3 linked regions of the Oreochromis niloticus genome follow. The protein of the gene in region 2 interacts with the protein of the main gene of each other region in a pairwise test. Links are inferred from orthologs where the notes say so. Each region holds a gene or a part of one and is shown on either strand. Other genes may lie near its edges. The genes, in order: ckap5, tacc1 and memo1.

The links.
Region 1: the proteins of tacc1 (region 2) and ckap5 interact in binary tests that used the Homo sapiens proteins (3 or more experiments, as listed by UniProt). The link is inferred for Oreochromis niloticus from reciprocal best matches to the Homo sapiens genes TACC1 and CKAP5.
Region 3: the proteins of tacc1 (region 2) and memo1 interact in binary tests that used the Homo sapiens proteins (3 or more experiments, as listed by UniProt). The two-hybrid records come from large-scale screens. The link is inferred for Oreochromis niloticus from reciprocal best matches to the Homo sapiens genes TACC1 and MEMO1.

Annotation. Positions count from the first base shown.
Region 1 is NC_031972.2:38,741,464-38,749,433, forward strand, and holds the start of ckap5 (cytoskeleton-associated protein 5), read right to left. Parts: upstream 3,107-7,970; 5' UTR 2,779-3,106; intron 1-2,778. UniProt on the Homo sapiens protein: Binds to the plus end of microtubules and regulates microtubule dynamics and microtubule organization. Acts as a processive microtubule polymerase. Promotes cytoplasmic microtubule nucleation and elongation. Plays a major role in organizing spindle poles.
Region 2 is NC_031970.2:27,576,123-27,583,742, forward strand, and holds the start of tacc1 (transforming acidic coiled-coil-containing protein 1), read left to right. Parts: upstream 1-4,101; 5' UTR 4,102-4,663; coding exon 4,664-4,824; intron 4,825-6,621; coding exon 6,622-6,731; intron 6,732-7,620. UniProt on the Homo sapiens protein: Involved in transcription regulation induced by nuclear receptors, including in T3 thyroid hormone and all-trans retinoic acid pathways. Might promote the nuclear localization of the receptors.
Region 3 is NC_031978.2:23,301,717-23,310,054, forward strand, and holds the start of memo1 (protein MEMO1), read right to left. Parts: upstream 3,142-8,338; 5' UTR 2,705-3,141; coding exon 2,644-2,704; intron 1,368-2,643; coding exon 1,286-1,367; intron 1,197-1,285; coding exon 1,128-1,196; intron 946-1,127; coding exon 833-945; intron 379-832; coding exon 267-378; intron 1-266. Other genes in the region: spast (spastin), read left to right, coding at 6,257-6,374, 6,471-6,554, 6,626-6,712, 6,795-6,955, 7,056-7,189, 7,285-7,378, 7,481-7,555, 7,683-7,754 and 3 more. UniProt on the Homo sapiens protein: May control cell migration by relaying extracellular chemotactic signals to the microtubule cytoskeleton. Mediator of ERBB2 signaling.

The sequences.
Region 1 (7,970 bases), on a different chromosome or scaffold from region 2:
GTCTCTACATACACACATAAAGTTTTGTCAAAAAGTTCACTGAACTCTGATATGCACTAATGTTTTTGCTCATCAAGTGGTTGAACTTAGCGTGGCTGTTGGCTTCATTTCTATTGGTGATGCAAAGGTATGTCACAGCACAGATGCTGTGCAAGAACTCCTTGCTGACACGATTACGCTGTACTTTGCTTAATTCAGCAGGAAACCGTTATCGTGCATGCGGCACATGCAATAGAAATTAATGGGTTTCAGAGCCTATGTGAAAAGGCCTTCGGGCTACTGGATTTGAGGTGAAACTCTCCATGCATTGTAAGGAGCTTCATTGTCTTGATGTCAGTGGCGTCCATCTCCTCCTTTGACCAGCTTATTATCCGAGTGGGGTGTCTAATCACTGGCAGAGCGTAGGTGTTGATTGCCTAGATCTTGTTCTTCCCATTCAGCTGACTCCTTAGGACTTGCTTTACTCTCTGCAGATATTTGGTGATTGTGGCTTTCCTAGCAGCCTCTTCACAATTCCTATTTGGCTGTGGGATTCAGAGGTCATTGTAGCTGCCCTCATTGTCTCTAATGCTGTAGCCATTTCCTTCTGGTAGTACAGTTGCTTCAGTTCTGACTGCTCCCTCTCTAAATTCACAGCCTTTGCCGAGACACAAAATCATATTCTGTACAGTATATAGCCAAAGTTTTAACAATGTGAGTATATGGCTAAAACCTTTGCTAGCTTTGAGGCATCCACTGGTGACACTTGGGCACTCTGACAACATTTCCTCCTCTCATTCCAACCATCACAAATTCCACCACCAAAATATCACTGTTACATTTACAATGAAACTGAATGCAAAAATCCTAATTAATCATCTTTGTATAATCTATTTAGTAACTGTTCTCTGAAAAAAAAAAAAAAATGTGTCCTGTTAAAGGGAAATTCATATAAATACATATGCAACAAGGCCAACCAAATAAAATATCTCCCGTTTCCACATTTTTCAGTCCAAACCACTTAGCACCACTTTCTTAAATCCCAACAGTAGCTTTTTAATGCTGAAAGACTGCTTTACTGTAGCACAATCTGGCTGATGAAAACCACAAACCACTTTAATGGAGTTGCTATATTCATGCTGACTTTAATATACCAGACACTGGCATACAAGAAAAAACAAGGGCAATGGCACACTTGAGCATGTGAGACACAGTTGCCTTCTAAATTCAATACAGGGATGTGTCAGGATCTGACAGTAAATAACGTTTTGTGTTATGCACATCGTACAAGTCAGGTGTAAAACATTCTAGGTTTAAACAGTGGAAGAGCTTGATATAAAGCAGGTCTCCTCTGGATGAATCAATTAATCCAATTAAGCTGCTGGATAAATCTATAAATCTGACTTTAAAGCTCCTTTACCTTTAGCACCAACTTGGATCAACTCGACTCAGATCAACTGGTTTGCAATCAAGTACCATCTAATGTGCGTGGTTGTCGTCATAGCCAGTGTCCAGTGATGTAATTGGTATGCGACAGGAACACTACAGCAAAGATGGAGTTCAAGGCAAGAACATACCTGCTGCTCAGTCTGTAGCTTTTCATCGGACTCTGGGACCATGGCATTGTTTTTTGTAGCCATTTCCCTTGTTGCCAGGTTTCAAAAACGGCAGTTTTGATTTTCGTGAATGAGACTGTCTCATGACTCGAGTGATGCCACTGACCAGACAATCAGTGGCATGCAGTCTGACGTCACATTTTAGTACCTGCTCAAATCACTTGGAACCCCAGCCGAGCAGGTACTATGACCTAATGGAAAGCCCTAAAAACCGTGGCAAGTCGATCCAAGTTGGTACTAATGGAAAAGGAGCTTAATGTTGTGAAAGGTAGAAGATCCAAAACACAGAGAATAGGTGAGGGAGAGAGATGAGTTAGAGAAAGAGTTGACAACTACCCAACAGGAAAGAATGGAAAAAGAGAAGACATCCACGAAGGAGACAGCCGTAAACAGCATGTAAAAACTGATGATGTTCTTAAATTCAGTCTCACATTTGATTACTTTTCTCAGGTATATCTGAGTAATGTAAATTTGTGACTTTAGTGAAATAGCCTTAGAAACAAATTACAACTCAACACATGTGATCAGTGAGCTCTCCTACTCAAAAAAAGCAGCACTACACCTCTAGCTCTCAGTATTACAGAACTTAAACTAAAATACAACCAAATGAGCACAGCTAACCTTTATCAACTAGATTCCCCCTTAAATACACCCAACCAGCTGCTTTTCGGTCTGGTTACAATCACTTTGGTTATCAACCGTGCCGTCAATTACCCATTTCACTGATTGTTTGCTTTCCCGGTTTGTATGGGAGTGGCCAGCATAACATAACTAGCAATCGTTAGTTACTAACGTTAGTTACTGAGGGCCATTAACTAGCTAACTTAGCAACAACAGTGACAGTTGCTACGTTACCCCGTTAACCGCTCATTCTGGTCCAACCCGCATCAACACACACGGCTATCGCTAATGACAAATAAACATTGCTAAACATGTCGTGCAAAATTGTATTATGCATAAGTTATTTTCAAAGTCAAACCTCGCCGTTAATTTACTGGTGGTTGATAATAGCTGTTAGCTGATTAGAAACAAGGCTACAAGCTAACCTTCCATCCGCGCCAACATAACCAGGCCTAACAGCGCAGTTCGCAGCTACACACATTACATCACAACTAGCTCCGATTCAAACATGATTTGTAGTTGCTTAAAATAATAATAATATTAATAATCTTTAACATAATACCTGTTTGCGGCTGTTAAAAATTACGATGCTGCTTCTCCAATTCGATGAGGATGATAGTGATCACTGTTGCGGGTCCAGTCGAGTTTTATACAAGTGCTTCTCTGCCTCGAAGGAGATTCAACACTGTTCCGGTACAAAATAAAACAGACAGTTGGGCCGTTTCCTATCTAATACAAATTTTAAATATAATTTACATAAATTGCGTATTCGTTAAAAGAAAAACTTCGAAAAAGTATTTCTGGGCTGGGATGTGAAAATATTTGTTTTTCTGTCTGTGAAATATGCGTGTGTTGAACTCTTATTTTAAACGCAAATGAACGCCCACTTCCGATTTCGATAAATACGTCCAACTTCTTTCAGCTTTTTCAAATTTCTCCAGAGCCGGACAGACAGAGGCGGGGCGGAGAGCGGGACACCACCCCAACGACGTCACTCCAGTACTGAATCACTTTTAATATTTAGTCCGACTGCATAAGCAACCTGTCATGGACAGAGAAGAAGCAGCACACAAACAAAATGCTACATTCATACAGTGACATTTTACTTACGTGACTACTTATTCATCTAATGGGCTTCCTTGTTTTTCACTAGACGGAGACAGATGTGGAGAGAGATTGGTTGCGTTTGAAATATGCTCCGCCTTCAATGTGTGAATTTCCTTAGCTGATTGGAACAACGCGTGCATTGCTTTCTCAGAAGAGATTTCATTGGCTACTCTGAAATTAAGTCTATCTCAAAACTACTATTGTCTATGTAAACACTACTTGTTTGTTTCGTGCACGCCCTTTAAACTTTAGTTATGTGCAGTTTGGGATGAGCGATGTTATACCAAAAACCTCTTGATGCATTCTCAATCATCCAGGAAAGTAAATCTCCAAAAGTTGAATCTGTTCATCTGGACGTAGCGTTTTGTGGGAGAAACGTTTCTCCCACAAAACGCTACGTCCAGATGAACAGATTCAACTTTTGGAGATATACCAAAAACCGATTTCCGATGTTTTTATGTGTCTTTTACGGTCGAATATTTTTACTCATATTAGTACATAGACAGTAGTGAACATGATTTATGATTGGGTTATATATAGAAGAAAGAAATAGCCTGTTGTTGAAGTATCTTTATGACTCTGCGTATTTGTACCCATATTGTCATCAATGCAGTGCGTTTTGGTCACTTTAAGTAAGTTTATAGAACTGTTATGTTATGTTTGTTACAATTTCTGCTGCCCTCTTGGCCCTCTCGAAAGACACATTTTTAATGTCAACGACACTTTTAATCCGGGTAAATAAAGGATATATAAAACTCTCTCCAAAGCTCAGTGCAGAATTTGATGGCCACCATAAAATGATTGTGTCGTGTCAAGGTAGGTAAAGGTAGGTATATCTGAAGGAATTAGTTTCCCCTGCATCTGGAGGACGCGCTGGGCAGGGAAACCGGATCCAGTTGACTCCGCCTCCATTCAAACTAAACAGACGTGGAAGTCGTGACGTTTTAGTTTAGTGAGAAAGTAAAAGATGGGTGTCGTTAAATTACCGTTCAGTTTGTGGGTTACAACAGAAATGATACATTTGTTGTTCTCACATATTATCGGACGGGATTATTTCAACAAACCGACGACATTATGCCTGGTAATATGTATCCTCCTGTAATTTGATTGTATAAAAAGCTAAAACCTCCAAAATTTCAGTAGTAACAAGTCATTATAAGAAATGTTTGCAAACTAAAAATCAAGAATGACGGATACTGTTTGTCCGTGATTTGGACAGGCCAGCGCATGCTCCCGACACAGGGGAACCTAACTGTGTCGGGGATCCCTACCTTGTCAAGACCCGTTCATTGTGGGTTGTTGCTGTTGTTGACAACAATAAGAGTAGAGATAATTTCTTTTCATTTGTTCATATGTTTTAATTACATGAGTACACACATTTCAATATCAGCTGGACATAGCACACCAAGGGCCATGCACAGTTTAATTTTTTAGTGATGGCTGTGATCATCAATACAATTTGTAAATGTTTGTGTTTATTTAAAAGGGATAACACTTATTAATTAACGTGAGCACTTAAATTCATCATGTAAATATGCCAGATTTACCCACAGACTCATTTTCATAAACCCTGGCAGGTTAATGGCATATTAAATAAATCAACAAACCAAACATTTTGAAGCGTGTGAACATAAGTAAAATACAGAAACACTTGTGACATAAACACATGTCCTTATACCATTATTAAAGATCAAACACTATGATCACTTACAAAAAATCCCCCAAAACATTAGAATCGGACTTTCAAGGGCATTATGTCATGACAACATGTTTGATTATCCAATAATCACTATTTCACAAATTTAGAAAAAGAAATAAAGAATGTTATATATTCTTTATTTCTGAGGGTATTGTATTCCAGGTATGAGTGGCTTGATAAGACAAAACTGACTGCCCCAAAATCAATTTGGGCTGAAAAGTGCTCTAATATTGTTGTTGGCTGTACGAAGTGACCAAATCCCAGCCTCTCTAATTTGAGTTGAATTTTAGTATCTTAAAGAATGTTTATGAAACATTTAAGTATAGAGAGTTTGTCTTTTTCCATGGATAGTACAGCCACGGATAACGGACAACACACATAGGAGACATTTGACTTATAATTCTGTGTTGTTTCTGAATCGAAATAACTAAAGATGATCTACTTTAAACATTTATATAACCAAGCACTAAGGTGTCGAATGAAATGCCAAAGAAATAAATTCTAGTAATATCCCAGCTGCACATGAGACCTATCAAACCAAAGGTGCAGGCAAATAGCACTACACTGAAAACTGTCACACCCAGTTTTAGAGAAATCGCAATCAATTTACTTGTGGGCACGCACTGCAAACAGCCTAGCTGGGAATCAGCGCTATGTATGACCTACAACCTGGGTTCTTTAAGGGAAGTGGCACAAACAAATAAACGAAAAAACAAGAAAGAGATTAGTCCGCCCTTACAAGACTCATTCTCAATCATTCATAACGGCCTTTACTGCTGGACAGACTAACCAAAACAAAATGACCAATCAATCAAAAGAACAAAAAAAGGACAGCAGAGGCAGCTTTATCTGTTGAGTTCAGGGATTTATTATGAACTTGTAAACTTGTAAGTGTTGGTATGAACTTGGTACTGCTTCCTTTTAGCATAATAAATATGGGTAAGTCAGCATGAAAGTACTGAGGAAGACTAGTTTAGTGTGATTTAAAGTGTGATGTACTGATGTCCCTGCGAAAAGTGCTGTGGTTCAGAGTGAGGGCTCAGAGATGAACTAAGTCCTCTTTTACTGCCAACAGTGGGATAAACTGAGTGAGAAGATACTGCTGGTATAGCTGTTGTGGTCCTGAGAATCTGTGGTGGATGTGACTTCATAAGCCTTTGCAGAAAGGATGGCACTGAGACACTGGACTTGCTCATACTCTGGGTTCCCTCTTTATTCTGGTACAAAGATAACAGATCACAGTCGTCATCAACAGTGTGTTATGCAGCTGCAACATTCAGGTCTGTTAAAAAGGATTAGAACTGTTATAACAGTGTATTACTGATCAGTGTACGCTGGGTAGCTAGTTAACTAGTGCCGTTAGCTAAAATGATCATTCACTCTGGTTTTTGCTGCTGCTCCTAATGAGGAATGGGGGACTGCTGTGTCTGTGTTAATTTCCTAATCAACCACAGTGCTAATGTACTAAACAAAGTTTTGAAGGAAACCAGGCTCAGTGCTTTGTAGTTGCGAATCCAACATGGTGAAAAGAGGACAGAGGCCTTCTGATTGGCTGACCTCTACTGCCGTTACCCGCCCCCCCATACCTTCCCTCCACCACCACCAACACCCCTTTTTATCCCCCTTCAGTTACAAGTGCAAGTTTTGAAATGCTTTTCTCCCAAGAAGTGTTGCAAAATTGCAGAATAATGATCTGACTTGAGAGGGAACAGTCGAGTGCTTGTATTCACTGATTTAAGAGGTTGTAATCACGGAGATGTGGTTGTAAGCAGTACAAAAATTAATTAATTAATTACTTTAAGTAAAATTTAAATGAGAAGTTTGCAGCTCACAGTGTATTTGCTGATGACACCACCTACATAGGACTGATTGGGTGATTACATAGAGTGATTCAGCCTACAGAGAGGTGGTTCAGCATCTGAAGCGATGGTGTGACAACAACAACCTACATCTGAACACAGCCAAGACTAAGGAGATGGTAATTGACTTCAGGAGAACAAGGCGATCTGAGCACTCCGCCCTCTACATTGATGCAGCTTCAAGTTCCTCAGGGTCCACATCTCGGTAAAAACCTTACCTGGTCTAAAAACATTTCCCAGCAGGTAGGAAAAGCACAACAAAGGCTGTACTTTCTCAGGAAGCTGTAGCAGATGCAATTACTCCAGACTTCTAATTTACTTCTACCGCTCCACCACCGAGAGTCTTCTGACCTATTGCTGCACACTCTGGTTCAACTGCTGTACTGTGGAGGACAAGAGAAAACTGCAGCAGGTGGTGAGGGCGGCAGAGCAGGCAATTGGCACTTCGCTAACCCCCCTCAGAGACATTTATACCAGCAGACTTCAGTGGAAAGCCAGTATCATCATCAAGGACCCCTTGCACCCTGGACACTCACTTTTTTTTCTCCTTCCTTACTGTAAACGCTACAGGTCGATCAGGTCAAAGACAAACAGACTCAATGTCAAGATCAAGGCTGTCAAACATGCCCTACCCTCACCCTGATTGAAGGTTAACTGTGCTGTTAAAATCCATGGACATTTACACTGTATTTATGAACCATATTTATTATACTATAATGCAACCAACATTCTCTATTTATATAACTGTATTTATTATAGTAGCAACCAGCATTCCTATTCCTTACTTAATGCGCAATACCACTGACCACATTGCACCTTATACTGCTCTGATCACTCACTTATTCATTTTATCTATCTATCTATCTATCTATCTATCCACACACACACACACACACACACACACACACACAGAGAGAGAGAGAGATGCCAAACTGTGTTTCATTGTTCTTGTAACAGTGACAATAAAGATCTATTCTATTTTATTCTATTTGTGAGAATATCAATCTACACATTTGTGAATATTTTTCTGTAACTGTAAATTCAAAATACAAGTTCCAATTTTTCTCAGTTTTTATTCTGAAAGCTCTG
Region 2 (7,620 bases):
TGTGAGCCATTTTCATTGGAGCACTTGATGGTTTTTGCAACTGCACTTGGGGACATATTCAAATTTTTAGCAATTTTCCGGACTGACTGACATTCAGCTCTTAAAGTAATGATGGACTGTCAATGCCTGGTTAATGCCATAATATGAATTCTAACCGTTGTCAAATAGGGCTGTTAGCTGTGTACCAACCTGACTTCTGCACAACACAATTGATGGTCCCAACCCCATTAAGAAGGCAAGAAATTCCACAGATGAACCCTGAAAATCATTTCAGGCATTTCAGGTTTCATTGCGAGAAGACCAAGGATTTGCAGCGCGGTCAACAAAGTAAAGGATGGCTACTTTCAGGAATCGAAAATATAAACATATTTAGAGTTATTTATCATTTTCTTTCTCTGCTACATATTTCCATATATCTTGCTTCATATCTTTGATGTCTTCAGCATGTATCTACAATTTAGAAAGTAGTAAAAATAAAGTAAAACCATTAAATGTGAAGGTGTGGCCTAACCTTTGACTGGTAGTGTAAGAGTTAGAAATTTTCACAAAAACTAAGAAATCAGGAAGGGGGCAAATATTTTTTCAAGACAGAGTACCAGTTTAACAATCACTTCCATGAACTTAAGCACGTCATGGACAAAGTCACATCGAAAGGAACCAGTTGAGGTGGCTTGGACATCTGACAAGGATGCCTCCTGGGTGAGGTGTTCCGGGTATGTCCCACTGGGAGGAGGCCCCGGGGAAGACCCAGGACACACTGCAGAGATTATATCTCTCGGCTGGCCTGGGAACGTCTTGGTGTTCCCCCAGACAAGCTGGAGGAGGTGGCTGGGGAGAGGGAGGTCTGGGCTTCTCTGCTTAGGCTGCTGCCCCTGTGAACTGGCCCCCTGGATAAGCGGAAGAAGATGGATGGATGGATGGGAAAAGTCAGTTTTCTGAGTAATACACAAAAAATTACCTTCTTAGCAATACTGAGCCTGTTGACTACAAACCGAGACTTTACTCTATGTGTGCTTGTCATATAGCAGTTACGGTAAAAAAAGATAATGCATGGTTTTTATTAAGTTTTTAACCTGATGAAATTTTGTGAAGTTTTTCTGGTTGTTATTATGCTTTTTGACCACTAGATGCCTGTGCAGTCCACTGATTCTGCAGCTTGCCAGCTCAGAGGAGCAGATTACTGAGGCGTGGTGTGACATTTGCAGTAGTTTTGCTTGCACTCATCTCTGGAAGAATGTGATCACATCTTGTAGTTTTTCCTTCAGCTAGCTGTTGAAACTGCCATGTCATATTACTGCAAGTGTGTCACTTAGAGCTTCACTCATTTGCTGTTAGAGGCCTGACGTATTAGTTTTCCTCACAAGGCAGAAGTAAGAAACTCGTTGTGCTGGCATGGGTTATTTATTTGCAGGTTCTTCCTCTCCGTTTCTGTTCCTCAAGCACGCACACACATAGCTACTGCAGCCTTGTGGCAGCGTGCTCATTATTTTCCTTCCTCTTTGTTTTCCTTCTCCTCGGCTCTTCATCCTCTGCCCTTTATGTCCCATTCTTTTTACATTAATTAATTTCCAGGAACATTCAGTTAGTTTTCTGGGATTTGCTGAGACCAAGCCATCTCTTTGTGTGTCTGCACTTATTTTAGGCTCCACAGGAATGGCTGTTATATAATCACATGGTTCCTCTATTGTCTCCCACTCTATTTATGGTGATAGAACATTTAAAGTGATGACTGTTGACACAGCCTGAATACAGTTTGCACATTTGATCTCCGCATTGTTTCCAATATCGGTTACAGTCATATTGACACAGAGACTAAACATAAGTGTGCAATTAGTGCATTTGTAGTAGGAAAGTCAGAATTTCAGCTGATGTGTCAGCTTAGAATAAACATCACAGTAGCGGGAGAGGCCAGATTGTTATTCTGTCTGGTACTAGTGACTTTCTGTTTTCTAGAAAATGCCTGTTGGCTACCTCGTGCTGGGCTTGAAATCTGAGCTCTTTTGAGTTGTGTTTGGATTCTGGTGGTGCTTCAGACTCCTTGGCTGAAGCTTTCTGGTCTGTGGCTGTGGCAGCCGTTAAGTATGGGGTGGTCTTTTATCTGGAGACACACACGCACACACACACACACACACACGTGCGTGCACACACACACACACACACACACACACACACAGCTGTCTCATGCTGATGTTTATTGATGCCGTTTTTAGATAAGTAAAGCACTGGTCCACAAACCTCGATAGTTTGTAAAAAGCAAACAAAAGATGTCAGTACTCAGTTCAATGTTATTTTCTGGCTTTTTTTGAAAAGATCTCAACTTATAGTTCTCATTTTATATGTATATTTTTTAGTAGGGGAAGTAATAGGCACCTTTACTTATATAACATGCTTATCCCTCTCTCACATGCATCTTCAGAGACCCCTCACCATCGATAGAAGGAGCTATTTATAAGGTTTAGAAGGTGTAAATATGCAGACTTCCTCTTCTGCACTGAAACACACCTTTGTTTCTATCACGCAAACGTGACGTAAATATCGATCAGTGATCAGGATTACCACTAGTATAACTTGTGGGAAGATGCTAATCTATTCTCCTAGTAAAACCAAAGTAGGGCTTTGCTGCTACTCTGTGAATTAATAAAAAAAAGTAAAAATGTTGTCTTTCACAAACAAACATTTCACAAGCAAAAAAATAAAATAAACAGATACCAACTCCAAGATAAAAGCACAAGTAGTTCTTCATGCTTGTGAGATGATGTCTTTAGTATGCAGGAACAGTTTTTGTCCTCACTTCAGGCACAATCTTTACCAGAATCAGACTGTAAATAAGCGGGTAGAAAACTCCACCCTTTCTGGTCAAATGTGGAAACTTTGAGCCTGACTGAAGCACGTGTGTGTATTTGGTCCTCGATGGGAATTTGGGAGGAGTTTAACCGCTCAGCAGACAAACCAATCCTTGAATTTTCTGGCACCTTAATACAACAAGACTATAGAAATAGGATGTATTATCGTGCTGTCTGTCTGGGTGAACACAAGAAGGTTTTGCTGTTGCAGCAGGTGGTTGAAGGAGTGCAGAAAATCTACAGCAAAAACTACTGTATGGCTCTTATTAGCCAGTTATCCATGGATTTGCCATTGCCCCCTGTACTGTATGTGTATTGTGAGTGTTTTTCTTCTTTACTGACATCATTTGCTTGAGATTGTCTCGTCATGTGATATATTAATTTACAGACATTGTCAGTAGCTTAACATCTGCAAATTAAGCAACTATGGAGCTCTGTGAGCTTTGTTTTCATAAATTCGCACAACTGAGTGGATATTTCTAGACTTCTCTTATATCTAGAACCAACTAGATCAACTTAAACTACTCTCCAGATGATCTGTTGCTTTGTTTGTCTTGTGTAAAAGTAAATATAGGACTGATATAGTTGGCAGGATGACAGATTTTCTCAACTTTTAAGAAAAACAGAATAAATCAGTTCCGCTTTTTTGCGTTTAATAAAAAGAAGCACATTTGAAGTCATTGTCCTAGAAGCAAGCCACTTTTGGGTTCTCTCTGTAATATATATATATATATATATATATATATATATATATATAACAGATTTATTAATTTTTTTCTTGGTTTTCATGGAAATGTAGTGAATGACTTTTTTTGCTGTATTTAGAGGGGCATTTTATTGCTCTGTTGAGAGATTTAAGACCCAATTTTCTCTTTCTAAGTTGCTACAGTGGGGTTTTTTTTACCACCCGTCACTGACTGCATTGAAGACTTTGGTTTCCTGCCAGTTCAGTGGTCTGAACTGCTACCTCAGACAAATTGAATCCAGCCAGGTATATCTCCTGGGGCTTTCCAACAGAAATGCAGAACTGGTTCCCCTGGTCATGCATGCCTGGCTGCCACTGGATGGGAGAAACAGTTAACTGTTAAACAGTCTACAAAGGAGTGGGGGTGGAGGGGCTTTAAGATCCAGCCCCACATTCCTAACCTCTCCCTGGACTATAAAATGTGGAGCCCCAAACAGCTCTGCTCCTCCTCTACCTCCACTCCCTAGGCCTTCTCCTCCTCCTCCTCCCTCGGTGTGTGTTTTGTGACTCCCTCCTTCTGCTTCAGAGTGGAAGAGCGGCCTGACAGGGACGTACCATTCTTCAACCGCGGGGGAAGTCATGTAGAAACCTAAAGAGAAGCTGCATTCATTCTTCGAGCTGACAGCTCACTGCCTTCCCCCACTGCATTTTCTGTCAGTGAGCTGTTCCGAGGTGGAGGGGAGAGTTTGTAGGGGGTTGAGAGGAGAAGAGAGTGAGCACAGCATTTGATAAACCAGCTGATCAGAGCTGAGGTATTCGGCCACAGAGACAGAGGGGGAGAGAGAGACAGAGAAGAGAGCGTGACTGGAAATAAGAATAAGAAGGACAGAGAACCCAGCTCAAGTCTTTGTAATTTCGAGATTAGTGATATACAAGTAGGGTAGTGTAAAAATGTGTAGTTCCCTTCATGGGAAACTGAGAACTGTGAGAAGTGGGAACCTCTATAGAAAGATGTGAGAGCTGTTGGTTGGGTGGAAACCTGAGGAAGAATCAGAAAAGGATCAGTCAAGTGCTGGAAACTAATCCACAGCTATCGGTGAGAGAGGGTCAGAGGACCCTGCTGGAATAAAGAGTGATGTCTTGGCTCTCACCCGTGTCATGGGCTAAATGGACATGGACGGCAGTGCGCGGGGGAGAGGGAGAGGAGGATGAAGACGGGCAGGAGGCCAGCGAGGAGAGGGAGCAACGTGGAGAGAGAGTAGAGGAAGACGAGGAGGAGAGATCTCAAGGCTGCAGGCAAGTGTTGCGCTGGAGCCCCCAAGACTACTGACAGGGTGGCTCACACAGTTTTATTTACCTGCTCGTCGGCCTGTCAGGTTGAGGAATCCCTGCTGTTTTAAGGGTTTGATGAAATAGGCCAAGGGAAGGGAGGAGAAAAAATATTGGTGTCATTTTTTATATTTCGCGTGCTGCGTTGTCCTGCAGGGCGGACACATTTGCGGTGTGGCTGTGCTTTCGATTGTCACCACGTTTGAGTGTTTTTCTTAGACTCACTGGCACGTTGTCAGATCTGTACAAGAACGCACACACACTGCACAGGCAGGTAGCTCAACGAGGTAATCATCGCTCAGATCACACAAACACGACAGGCTCCCAAGTCATCAGGTTCTCAAGTACCTGCTTTTCATGTCTGCCTTGACACTATGGATACTTGCTATTGCTCCAAGTAAATTCACAACTGTTTCCACTCTTGCACACTCAACTAGACACAATATCCTGTCATTGGGTATCAAGTAATCAAATGACAAAATCCATGTTTACTATCCTGTGCAATTAGATTCAACCAGAGCAACAGCAATTCTTACTGCTAGATCTAATCGAATGATGCAATGTTATAAAATCACACATCATTTTATTCTGTTTTAATGTTCATATTCTGAGTTAATACATCATTTACAGCTTGTATGTTACAGTTTTATACTTCATACCCCATGATTCTAACAATGTAACAGGAAATAGTGGGCTGGCTTACTTGCACTTCCTCTTCCTCTATGTATCTTTCACTTTATCTGTATTTCACTCCTTCACCAGTTCAGACAATACTGAGTCTTTCCAAGGCATAATACAACAGCAGAGGATAATAGCTGGGACAGTGGCACATTTAAGTTGCAATAAAATATGATTTTTATATTTGATTTTTGTTACTCAGTATCCTCTAGATGTCAATGACATCATGCGTCACTTGTGAAATTGCTCTTCCTTTCAGTATAAGTTTAAATATGCATTGTCACTTGCAGATATCTTTATATAAGAAAAACATGTACATTTTCAACAATTCATCTCAGCTTTTCTACATGATAAAGAAATGCTGCTGTAGTAAATGAAAGACGTCTGTCAGCACAGTTCTTTTGGCTTAAATTATAAGAAATGAATGCTTAAAATTTTAGAAAGAAATTCTGGTTGCTTGTTGCCTTGACTGTCCTGTAATTGTGAAAAGGAACAAAGAAAATGTCAAAAAACATGAATTTTTCTGTCATTGAATTGTTTATCTTTTACTTAATTACTTTGGTGTGTTATGATTTTCCATGGGGGAGTTTTTTTATAAGTAAAATTAATTTTAACAATTTGTTTGCCCTCCTTTACATTTCCCAAAGACCGACAGTGGGCAGTTTTTGTTGGGCCAGTTCTGGTCCCAGGCCTAATGTTTAACACCCCTGCTCTAAATCAATATGGAAATCATTTCCGGGTATTCTGTAGTACTATTAACCCCCAGGTGGTGATGCTACCACCAGGGGGTTGCATGAAGTTGTATTTTCACCTCTTCATGCTTCTAAAAAGTATTTATTTACGTAGCACAAGAGGTGAATTCCACACTTGGTCTGACCTGGGACCATCTGTACATTATGATACCATGAATCAATATAGTGCATCTGGGGGGTTTTTTGTATGTTTTTTGTTTTTATTTATCTTTCTGATTTTTGGCAGCAGGAGTTTTTCTATGTCGTGCTCTCTGTTTTTGTAATATGATCACTTCTGTGCTCCTTTCTAATGTTTTGAATGTTTTAATCTTTCTCTCTCTCATTTCTACCACAGCTCTGACTCAGAGGGTCATTTTGACACTCCTGAGGCAGCGACTCCTGTCCGCGCCCCTCCGACCATCCCAGGAGAGCTGGAGAACAACAACACTGATGCAGACAAAACAGGTGAGGCCAACAGCAGACAGACAGAAATGCAATGATGAGACGCTGTCCACTGTGAAATCTCAATAGCAGTAGCTCTACAATTTTCAACATATGAGAAGAAATGCGTGTTCGAGTGCACAACACAAAGCAGTAGCCTCAAGGTTGCCATGGAAACGAGTAGCTGCTTCACTAAATGCTCAGGTGTCACATTTGTGTTTGTCTTCATAGTCAACAAAAGAGGGAAATGTGTTTAGAGTGTGTCAACAAAATAATGTTTTTTAATGCTAAAATGAACGTTTGTGTGATCGAGTACGTCCGAACTTCTCATCATTCGCAGGAAAAATCTATTACCTACTAAGTATTCAGACTTCCGATGTGGGGTACAGACAAGCAGTCAAATGCAGAATGCACTTCATTAAACATAATTAAGGTTAATACCTGAAGGTGGCCAAACATGCTCTGCATGCTTGGTATGTAAGCTGGTTTGCAGATGAGGAAGGATTTCGGGTGTGATGAAGCCTTGACTTTGTCCTTTGAATCACGAAAAGGAGGAGCCTGTAGCAGAGTGTGGGAAAGGCCTTTGCTCTGGAATTCAACAGGTTCAACAAAAGCTTCATCTAAAGCTCCGCCCTGCTTTGTAGTAGTCACTGACAGAGGTCAGTATGAAGGGAGCAACTGCACAAAGCAAGCCATGGGCCCAAAGCTATCATGTAGCTTTCTTTTTTTTAAAGTTGATTTTTAGTAGTCTTCTTATTTGTGCGGCTGTTGTGGTTTTGGTAGGATTATCCTGTAAAACAGCACCAACAACATTTTATAAAAGAGTAAGTTGCAAAGGTCAGAAAGTGTGGAGAGAGGAGGGAGTTTCCATTTTAAACTGCAAACATCTCTCCCTGCAGCTGTTTCTAAGTTT
Region 3 (8,338 bases), on a different chromosome or scaffold from region 2:
ATGGCTCTGTCTCCAGCCAACCTAACAGAAGGTTGTATAAATTATGCACATCCATGTGTCCCTGCACCAGTGTGATTCTGGTTTACAATATAGTGCCTGGTGCATAGTATAGGAAGTCAAGGAAGAGAACAGAAGTAACAGAGCTCTTGTACCTTATTCACTTTTGTCAGAAACAGTCAGGAAAAAGCTTCAATTTGTCAGACAGTTCCCTTTAAATGCATAGATTGATTCTTTACTTGAATGAATGTCACTCTCAGGTGCATTACCTCTCCATGGCTTTAGCAGTGTAAGGCAAGTGCATTTCAATACTGTGCTCATCTTCGTCTGTCTGCAGACTCATTCTCTCAAACAACCCAGTTTTCCAGAGGTCAGCATAAACTGAAAGAGACAGGTTCAACTTTAATTTGTGAATTTTTCATAGTCACGACTACTGATAAAGTCAGTGAGATTAGAATTCTGACAAGTGCCTAGCTGAGGAAAATCTAAATAATAAAAAAAAGCCCTGACCACAGAGTCAAGGCAATGTCTGGTCGCTGGAGGATCATTAAAAGTGTATCACCTGCCAAACTGGCATAAGGCCTGTATGTTGGAGCTCTGTGCTTGCTTCATTTCACATTTTTAAGAGCAATGACTCCAAAAAATTTGTTCTTCTCTTTGCTTTTGGCACAAAACATGTACTGAAATGTATACTGTAAATGTTATCCAAACTGTCATGGTACTACCTCACATCACTGCACATCCTCAAAATACCTTTCATGAGGATGTGCAAAATGCATATAAATAAATTATAGCACAAGTTAAGATGTAAGACATATTTGAAAACAGTGAATACCCTTTTGGTCGATTCTCAGGTCATAGAGGGGTGTTCTATAGATGTCTGCAGGTGACAGGGCACAGCGAGAGAGGGGCACATGGTGTGAAGGTCCCAGGATGAACACCCTACGACTGAAGGGCAATAGAACTTTATTTCATTAGCTGTTTTTGCAAAAAGCACAGCACCAACACTGCTGTACTCTGCTATCTACACTCACATCTGCTCAGTCTGTGGAAAAAGTGGAATTAAGATAAGCAATCATGCAAAGCATCTTCTTAAATGAGGAAGAGAGCTAGAAAACTGAATCACTTACGTAATAGAGGGATCAACCTGCTTGTAGGCATGTGCTGCACAAGCACCACAGTAAGTATACCCAGCATGGCTACAAACAAAAACAAGCCATATTACAATTAAGAAGGCATTCAACACATTCAGAAGACATTTTCTTTCCGTTTGTCATAGTGTGCTTACGGTGCTATGATGGCTCTAGCGGGTCTGATGGTGGACTGTGCTTGAGACAGCCAGCCTTCTAGTTGTGCATTCAGCTGGGATCCTGAAAAAGTTAAAAAAAAAAAAAAAAAAAATGTATGCGTATATATATTTCACTAGAATAGACTAACACTAGAATAAAGAGGGGTCACAAAATCAAATGATAACTGTAGAATCACTTTGATAAGGCTATAAGCATTTTAGATCCCTACCAATGTCTCACTGTAATAGCAATGCACTGGGCTGAAATCCAGCTGTGACAGCAGTTCATTATTCCTTGTCAGTTATTTTGGAAGGGGAAAGAAATGGATAAGAGCCCATCTTGACAAAGCCTAACATAGTATTGTCAATCTTTTATATGCTGGGCAACTGTTATTGTAAAGCTGGAGCTCATTATAATGTGTCATAATCCAAATTTAACCTTACTAAACGTGGTTAACTACACTGGAATACAATGCCTATATTAGAGTATAAACTACTTGTGTTCATGTTCACCAGTGTCAATAGTTGACAACATTAACAGCACACACAGCTGAATGATTTGTTAGAAAAACAACCAGAATGACGGTAATCAATGTTAGCTCAGCATTTGTGGTTTTGAGTATTTATCTGCTTTGTCTCATGTTCATCATATGTTGTCTCAAAAAGGATTGTAAATGGCAGCTTCTAATGGATTTTCGGGCAGCCTTTTGGAATTTAATAAAAAAAAGAAAGAAACTAGCGTACAGCTTGTGAAATGGGGGAAGGGGTGCAACATGAACCTTCAGCTTTCTGCCCTGCCCTACCCAATCCTTTGTTCTGTGGCAGGGAGCATTTGTACACATAACTTAAGCGGGTCAGGGGCAGACACCAACAAGAACACAATAATGACAATAACCGCATAAGTTAATGTAGGCAATCAGCTTCGGGAAATCTTCAGTGTAGCTGGCTAGCTAGCACGTAGGCCAGGAAGTTCTGCAATATTAGCCAAGTTAGCGTTGGTTGAGTTGATAGCGTGTCAAAAATGCTTTGTTTTGACATTTCCACGCACTATCCGAGGAGGAAGTGCTGAACACGTTCAAACCAATCGTACACCTAATGGGATAATACAGAGACGGCAGTCAATAACAGTTAGTTAGCCGACTTTTAAAAAAAAAAATCGGATGGACTAACGTTACAGCCCTGACACTGGGTATCAATTTCTGCGGTGGCAAGCCACCAGGAGCCCAGTTACAAAGCCAGTAAGTTACGCATAATGAGAAGCCTCAAAAACGAATAGAACACAAAGCATAAAACAAACAAATAAGACTGCCAGCTAGCACACAGTGTGCTAACGCGGATGGTGCTTCGTTGACAGTTACCCGAAGCAGAATACCAGCTCCCGGCGTGACTTGCTTCTCTGCACACCACTCGGTTCGACATCTTGGTTCCCAAGCCGCCTATCTTGGTTTGCTTCACTCCTGTCAGGCGAAAGATTAAAAACAAAACTCCAAAATCCTGGGTTAACTACCCGAGAGAAGAAACCAACGCCTGCTAGCTGACTTGCCTGAAAAGACAAAGGGCAGTTCGACTGGAGAATCAGCAGCTAGCTGGCTAACAAGCTCAGTGTACCGTCAGATGGCCCTTGTGTTGTTACCGGTTAATAAGTTAGCCAGGAGAGTAGCTAGGGTCCGTTTGTCATAAAGTCTGTTAATATTAGCATGTAATGCAGAAAGGCACGAATTACAGAATGTGTGTAATATGCCGATATGAAACACCCAGAACAGTAATAATAAAAGAAGCGATGTCACAGTTGGGATCTGAGGATTACAGACTTGTCTGTCAAGCCAGGCAAGGGGCGGGTCTGAAAAGAAAATGTTATCAAAGAGACGTCAGAGCGGTCCGATTGGCTGCTTGATTGTTCATCTTTACATGATTGGTTAAAAAATCCAGGAGGCGTAGCCGTTAGTAAGATGTTGTTTGATTGTGAAATTGTGCTGTCCGTCAGGTGAGCGGGTACAGCGTGGCAAAGAAGCAGGGACGTCAATAGGGCATCAACAAAAATGTACCTATTCCTTTTCTTAGCATTGAAAGGAGTACTTTTGCTACCAGTGATTGTAGAAAACAGTCATTTCCACAGTCATTGTTTGCTATCATGAGAGAATTGTGACTGTTTACAAACTAATTGCTTTTCTCATGGATTTAAATTCAATTCAACTATTTATACAGCGCCAAATCACAACAATGCCTCAAGGCACTTTATATTGTAAGGTAGACCCTACAATAATACATACAGAGAAAAACCCAACAATCATATGACCCCCTATGAGCAAGCACTTTTATGAGGATGGAAGGAAAAGCTCAGTTTTAACAGGAAGAAACCTACAGCAGAACCAGGCTCAGGGAGGGCCGGCCATCTGGGTTGGAGTGAGAGTTGGGGTGAGAGAAGGAAGACAAGACAAAAGACATGCTGTGGAAGACAGCCAGAGATTAATAACAAGTATGATTCAATGCAATGAGGTCTATTAACACACAGTGAGTGAGAAAGGTAACTGAAGAAGAAATACTCAGTGCATCATGGGAATCACCCAGCAGCCTACACCCATTGCAGCATAACTAAGGGAGAATTCAGGGTCACCTGATGGAGCCCTAACTATATGCTTTAGAGAAAAAAGGAAAGTTTTAAGCTCAATCTTAAAAGTAGAGATAGTGTCTGTCTCCCGAATCCAAACTAGACGCTGGTTCCATAGAAGAGGGGCCTGAAAACTGAAGGCTCTCTCTCCCATTCTACTTTTAAATACTGTAAGAAAACTGGATGACAAAAGACAAAACTTGTGTTCTCTATTTTCAAAAAGACAGTCTAAACCAGAGATGTCAAACTCATATTACATCGTGGGCCTGCAGTCCACTTTAGTCTGTACCAGAGAAACTGCCTTTTTTGTTAATGGAAAGATGTTTTAATAACATATTTAATCCCTGAGCTATCTTAATATAGGAAGAAGTGAAATTTCAACAGTATGTCTCAATTTTTCTGCATGATAAAGAAATGCTGCCATAGTGAATAAAAAAAATACTGTCAGTGCAGCACTTTGGGCTTTTTACTGTGGACCCACTGTAAAAAAAAAAACCCAAAAAAAAAAAAAAAAAAAACCTCTATAGTACATTGTGGAAAAAGCATTATCTTCTGTAACTTAATTGTTTATCTGTTACTCAGTTCCTGTGTGTAGCATGAGTGGCCATGAGGGAGGTCTTTGTCTATTGGAAAAGCTGTAAAACTGATAAAAATACAGCTAAAAGTCCTATGCCTTCTTTCATATTTTAGCAGGAGATCAATATGACAGAGCAAACAGACAATAAGATAAAATTGTTAACAATTGTTTACTTTTGTCGCTCCTGCCCCAGACACATCTGTCCAGTAAGTGGGCTGAACATTCTAACAACACAGGTGTGAAAACCCTGTTGAACTTGAGTTCAGTCAGCTTATTGGCTTATTGGTCAGACACATCTGCTTTATTGGCCAGATGTGTTTGGTGCAGACTGAACATTCTAATGTGCTTTGTAGTGGCGCATTTTTGTTTGCTTGGATTTCCTCTGTGTGAAAAGAGCTTATTTATCAGCTTATTTAGGTATGAAAATGCCCTTTAAAAGGAGAAGAGACAAATGACACTTAATCTTGTCCTTCCAAAACCAAAGCCAGTTTCCAAAATCCACCCTGCAGATGTTTCCAAGGATATCTGGCCCTACTATGCTGTAACAAGTACATTATGTCCTGTGAAGACATTGCAGGACAGTATTTGGAAAAGTGCTTCAAGAAATTGTCGACTTTCCTGCTTTAAGACCTGAGGTTATTCCTTCTAAATGTTTTTAATTCTGTTTACCATAATTATGCTCCTCAGATTTATTTTCTGTTTAGCTTTTGGGTGTTGGATAACAATGAACACTAATGTTTGTCAAAATAGATCTGTTTCACTGTAGGTGGTTTTGTGGGACTGACATAACTTTTCTGCAAACATTTAGATTTGTGGTTGAGTCTTGTTAAAGTGAGACTGTGTTCTCAAACAAAAATCAGCATCACAAATCAGTATGAGCACATTATTACACTAATACGAATGTCTAATGACAGTTATTTATCTTAACATACTTTTAGCTGGTCTTCAGAGTTGTCTCACTGATCTTCAGTGGTTAGTTTCGTGCCAGCACTGGTGGGTCGTTACACCTTTTGTCCATCATGGGATGGGAACAAGTACTTATCAAATAAAGCTGTAGTCATGTTGTTATACCTGAATTCAGTTTTCATCGAACCATATGGGTGCAGCACACAACACGGGTATTGTGATAAGAAATGGGTGGATCTAAAAGAAAATGTGGAATTAAAAAAGACTGAATGGCTAACCCTTCCCCTTTTAAAAATGTAATCTTGAAGCAAATAGCTGCCATGTTACATGCTTTGTTTTTTGTTTTGTTTTAAAGAGAAATAGTAAGTGCACATTATTAAGGTTTTAGATAAAAAGATTTTCAGTGTCCCGGAAATATGCACACATAGCATGCTTTTAGTCTGGAATTCAACCGGAAGTTACTTCTTGTTCTATATAATTTTTCTTTAATAAAAAGGAAATTACGTAATTTTTTTAAAAAATGGCTTTGCTTCTTTTGCGTTACTTATACTATATAAGAGATAAAAGAAAATATGTTTTTGTTTTTACCTATAATTAGTGTATGGGACTAATGGGACTGTAACGGTACATTCATGAGAACGAGCTCTGCGGGCGGGGCGGAGTCTGTCTGGGTCGCTCGGTAAACCGGAAGCTTGTGTTGGAAATGTTTGTGTTGTCACGAAGCGCCAGAATTTTTATTCTGTGAAGTTAAAGCGTTGTGTTTTGTCCCAAAGAAAGAGGACTGCATCACCTTCAAATGCGATTTAAAGCCTAAACCTTTTCGTTTATGACTAGCTTACCGTGTTATGACTGAGAACAGGGGGGAAGTAGCGCGAGAGTAATGTCGACCAAAACAAACGCAAGTAAGCCCAAAGACAGCGCTGAAGTTATAAAAAACATCCACAAGCAGGCGTTTGAGTATATATCCAAGGCACTGAAGATCGACGAGGACGACACAGGTTTGTTTATTGTGTTATTAATTTTTATTGAGTTATTAACTGCTGTTGTACGTGTGCAAGAGAGTAATAAACACCTCATCCTTTCTGTCATAACAGGAGAGAAGAAGGAGGCTGTGCAGTGGTACAAGAAAGGGATTTCTGAGCTTGAAAGGGGTATTGCAATAGAGCTCACTGGGCAAGGTATTACAAATACATCCAGGTATGCTGTGAGCTGTCAATCAGCTGTAACTTCATACTCAGTGTATTTTTAGCAGGAGAGCAGTATGACCGAGCAAAGAGACTTCAGGATAAAATGGTCACCAACCTCACCATGGCAAAAGACAGGCTTACCCTTTTAGGTGAGTTGGCCTTGATTATTTTTATCAAAGTAATGTAAGCTGAGAAGGCATGCTGAAGATCATCAAATGTCTTCCTTCACAGAGACGACACTGGCCTCTAAAAGGAGAAATGACCCCCAAGGGACATCACGTCATGCCCTTCCACAGCCAAAGTCAGTTCCTAAAAGTCAACCCGCAGGTGTTTCCACCACCATCAGACCCTCCACTCCTATAAGACCTTCATCAAGACTAACTGATGCAAAGGTTTGTGGTTTTTTTGGTTATTTAATAGTGCAGGCACATGCCATTTGAAGCTACCTGTCTAATGTGTAATGCTTTCTGGAACAATCTTATTCCTGCTAAGACAACCACTCGGGTGGGAAAAACTCAGAATGGAAGACCGGCAGCTGTGAAACAGCCCCCGAAGAGGGATATGAAAAACTTCAAGAATGTGGACAGCAAGCTGGCCAACTTAATTATGAATGACATTGTAGACAGGTATCAGAAGCATCACAATCAACAAGACATTTTTCCCTGGGTGAAATTTAAACAAAATTATTGCACATTTAAAATATTTCCTCTGTTCACTGCAGTGGAGCGACTGTGTCATTTGATGACATCGCAGGGCAGGATCTGGCAAAGCAAGCACTTCAAGAAATTGTCATCCTTCCTGCCTTAAGACCTGAGGTTATTACTTCTAAACTTCTTCTGTCTGCTTACCATGAATATACTTTCAAAGTTTTTCTTTGTTAAGATGCAAAGGTTTTTTTGTTACATTTTCCTGTTTAGCTCTTTACTGGTCTGAGAGCTCCTGCACGTGGCTTGCTTTTATTTGGCCCACCAGGAAATGGGAAGACCATGCTCGTAAGTTCATTTTACAGCACAACAAATCATATGAGTCACGTTTTAAACTGTTTTGTATTTTGCATATAGCTGTTGATAGCCCTCATTATCCTCAGTTGAATCACAGCCATTTATTTCCTCTTGCAAGGCCAAAGCAGTTGCTGCAGAGTCTAATGCAACATTCTTCAACATCAGTGCTGCTAGTTTGACCTCCAAATACGTAAGAAACACTTTTAACAGTTTTTAATGAGTTCTCTCTGCCTACTAGTTCATTTTTTTCCTTCTAAATGTTTCATGTCGTCACCATCACAGGTGGGAGAAGGCGAGAAGCTTGTACGAGCACTGTTTGCAGTTGCAAGAGAGTTGCAGCCCTCAGTCATCTTCATCGGTGTGTGTTACACTAAAGAATAGATGTGCCTTAAACACCAGTCTATCTCAAAAATTTTCAGCTCATGAATAAATCTCACTGTTTACTGTTTGACACTCAGATGAAGTGGACAGCTTGCTCTGTGAAAGGAGGGAGGGGGAGCACGACGCCTCTCGCCGTTTAAAAACTGAGTTCCTCATTGAGTTTGACGGGGTAAGTTCAGAAATTTGTTAAATAGAGCAGAGCTCAGAAATTCACTCATCAAACATCGTCAGAGGAGCTCAAATCCTAGTTAACTTGGAGAGCCCTGGTGTTTTCTTCTGGGTTTCAGGTGCAGTCAGGAAGGGATGACAGGGTACTTGTAATGGGAGCAACTAACAGGCCCCAGGAGCTCGATGAAGCAATATTAAGGTATGTTATGCCGTTCTACATTAACA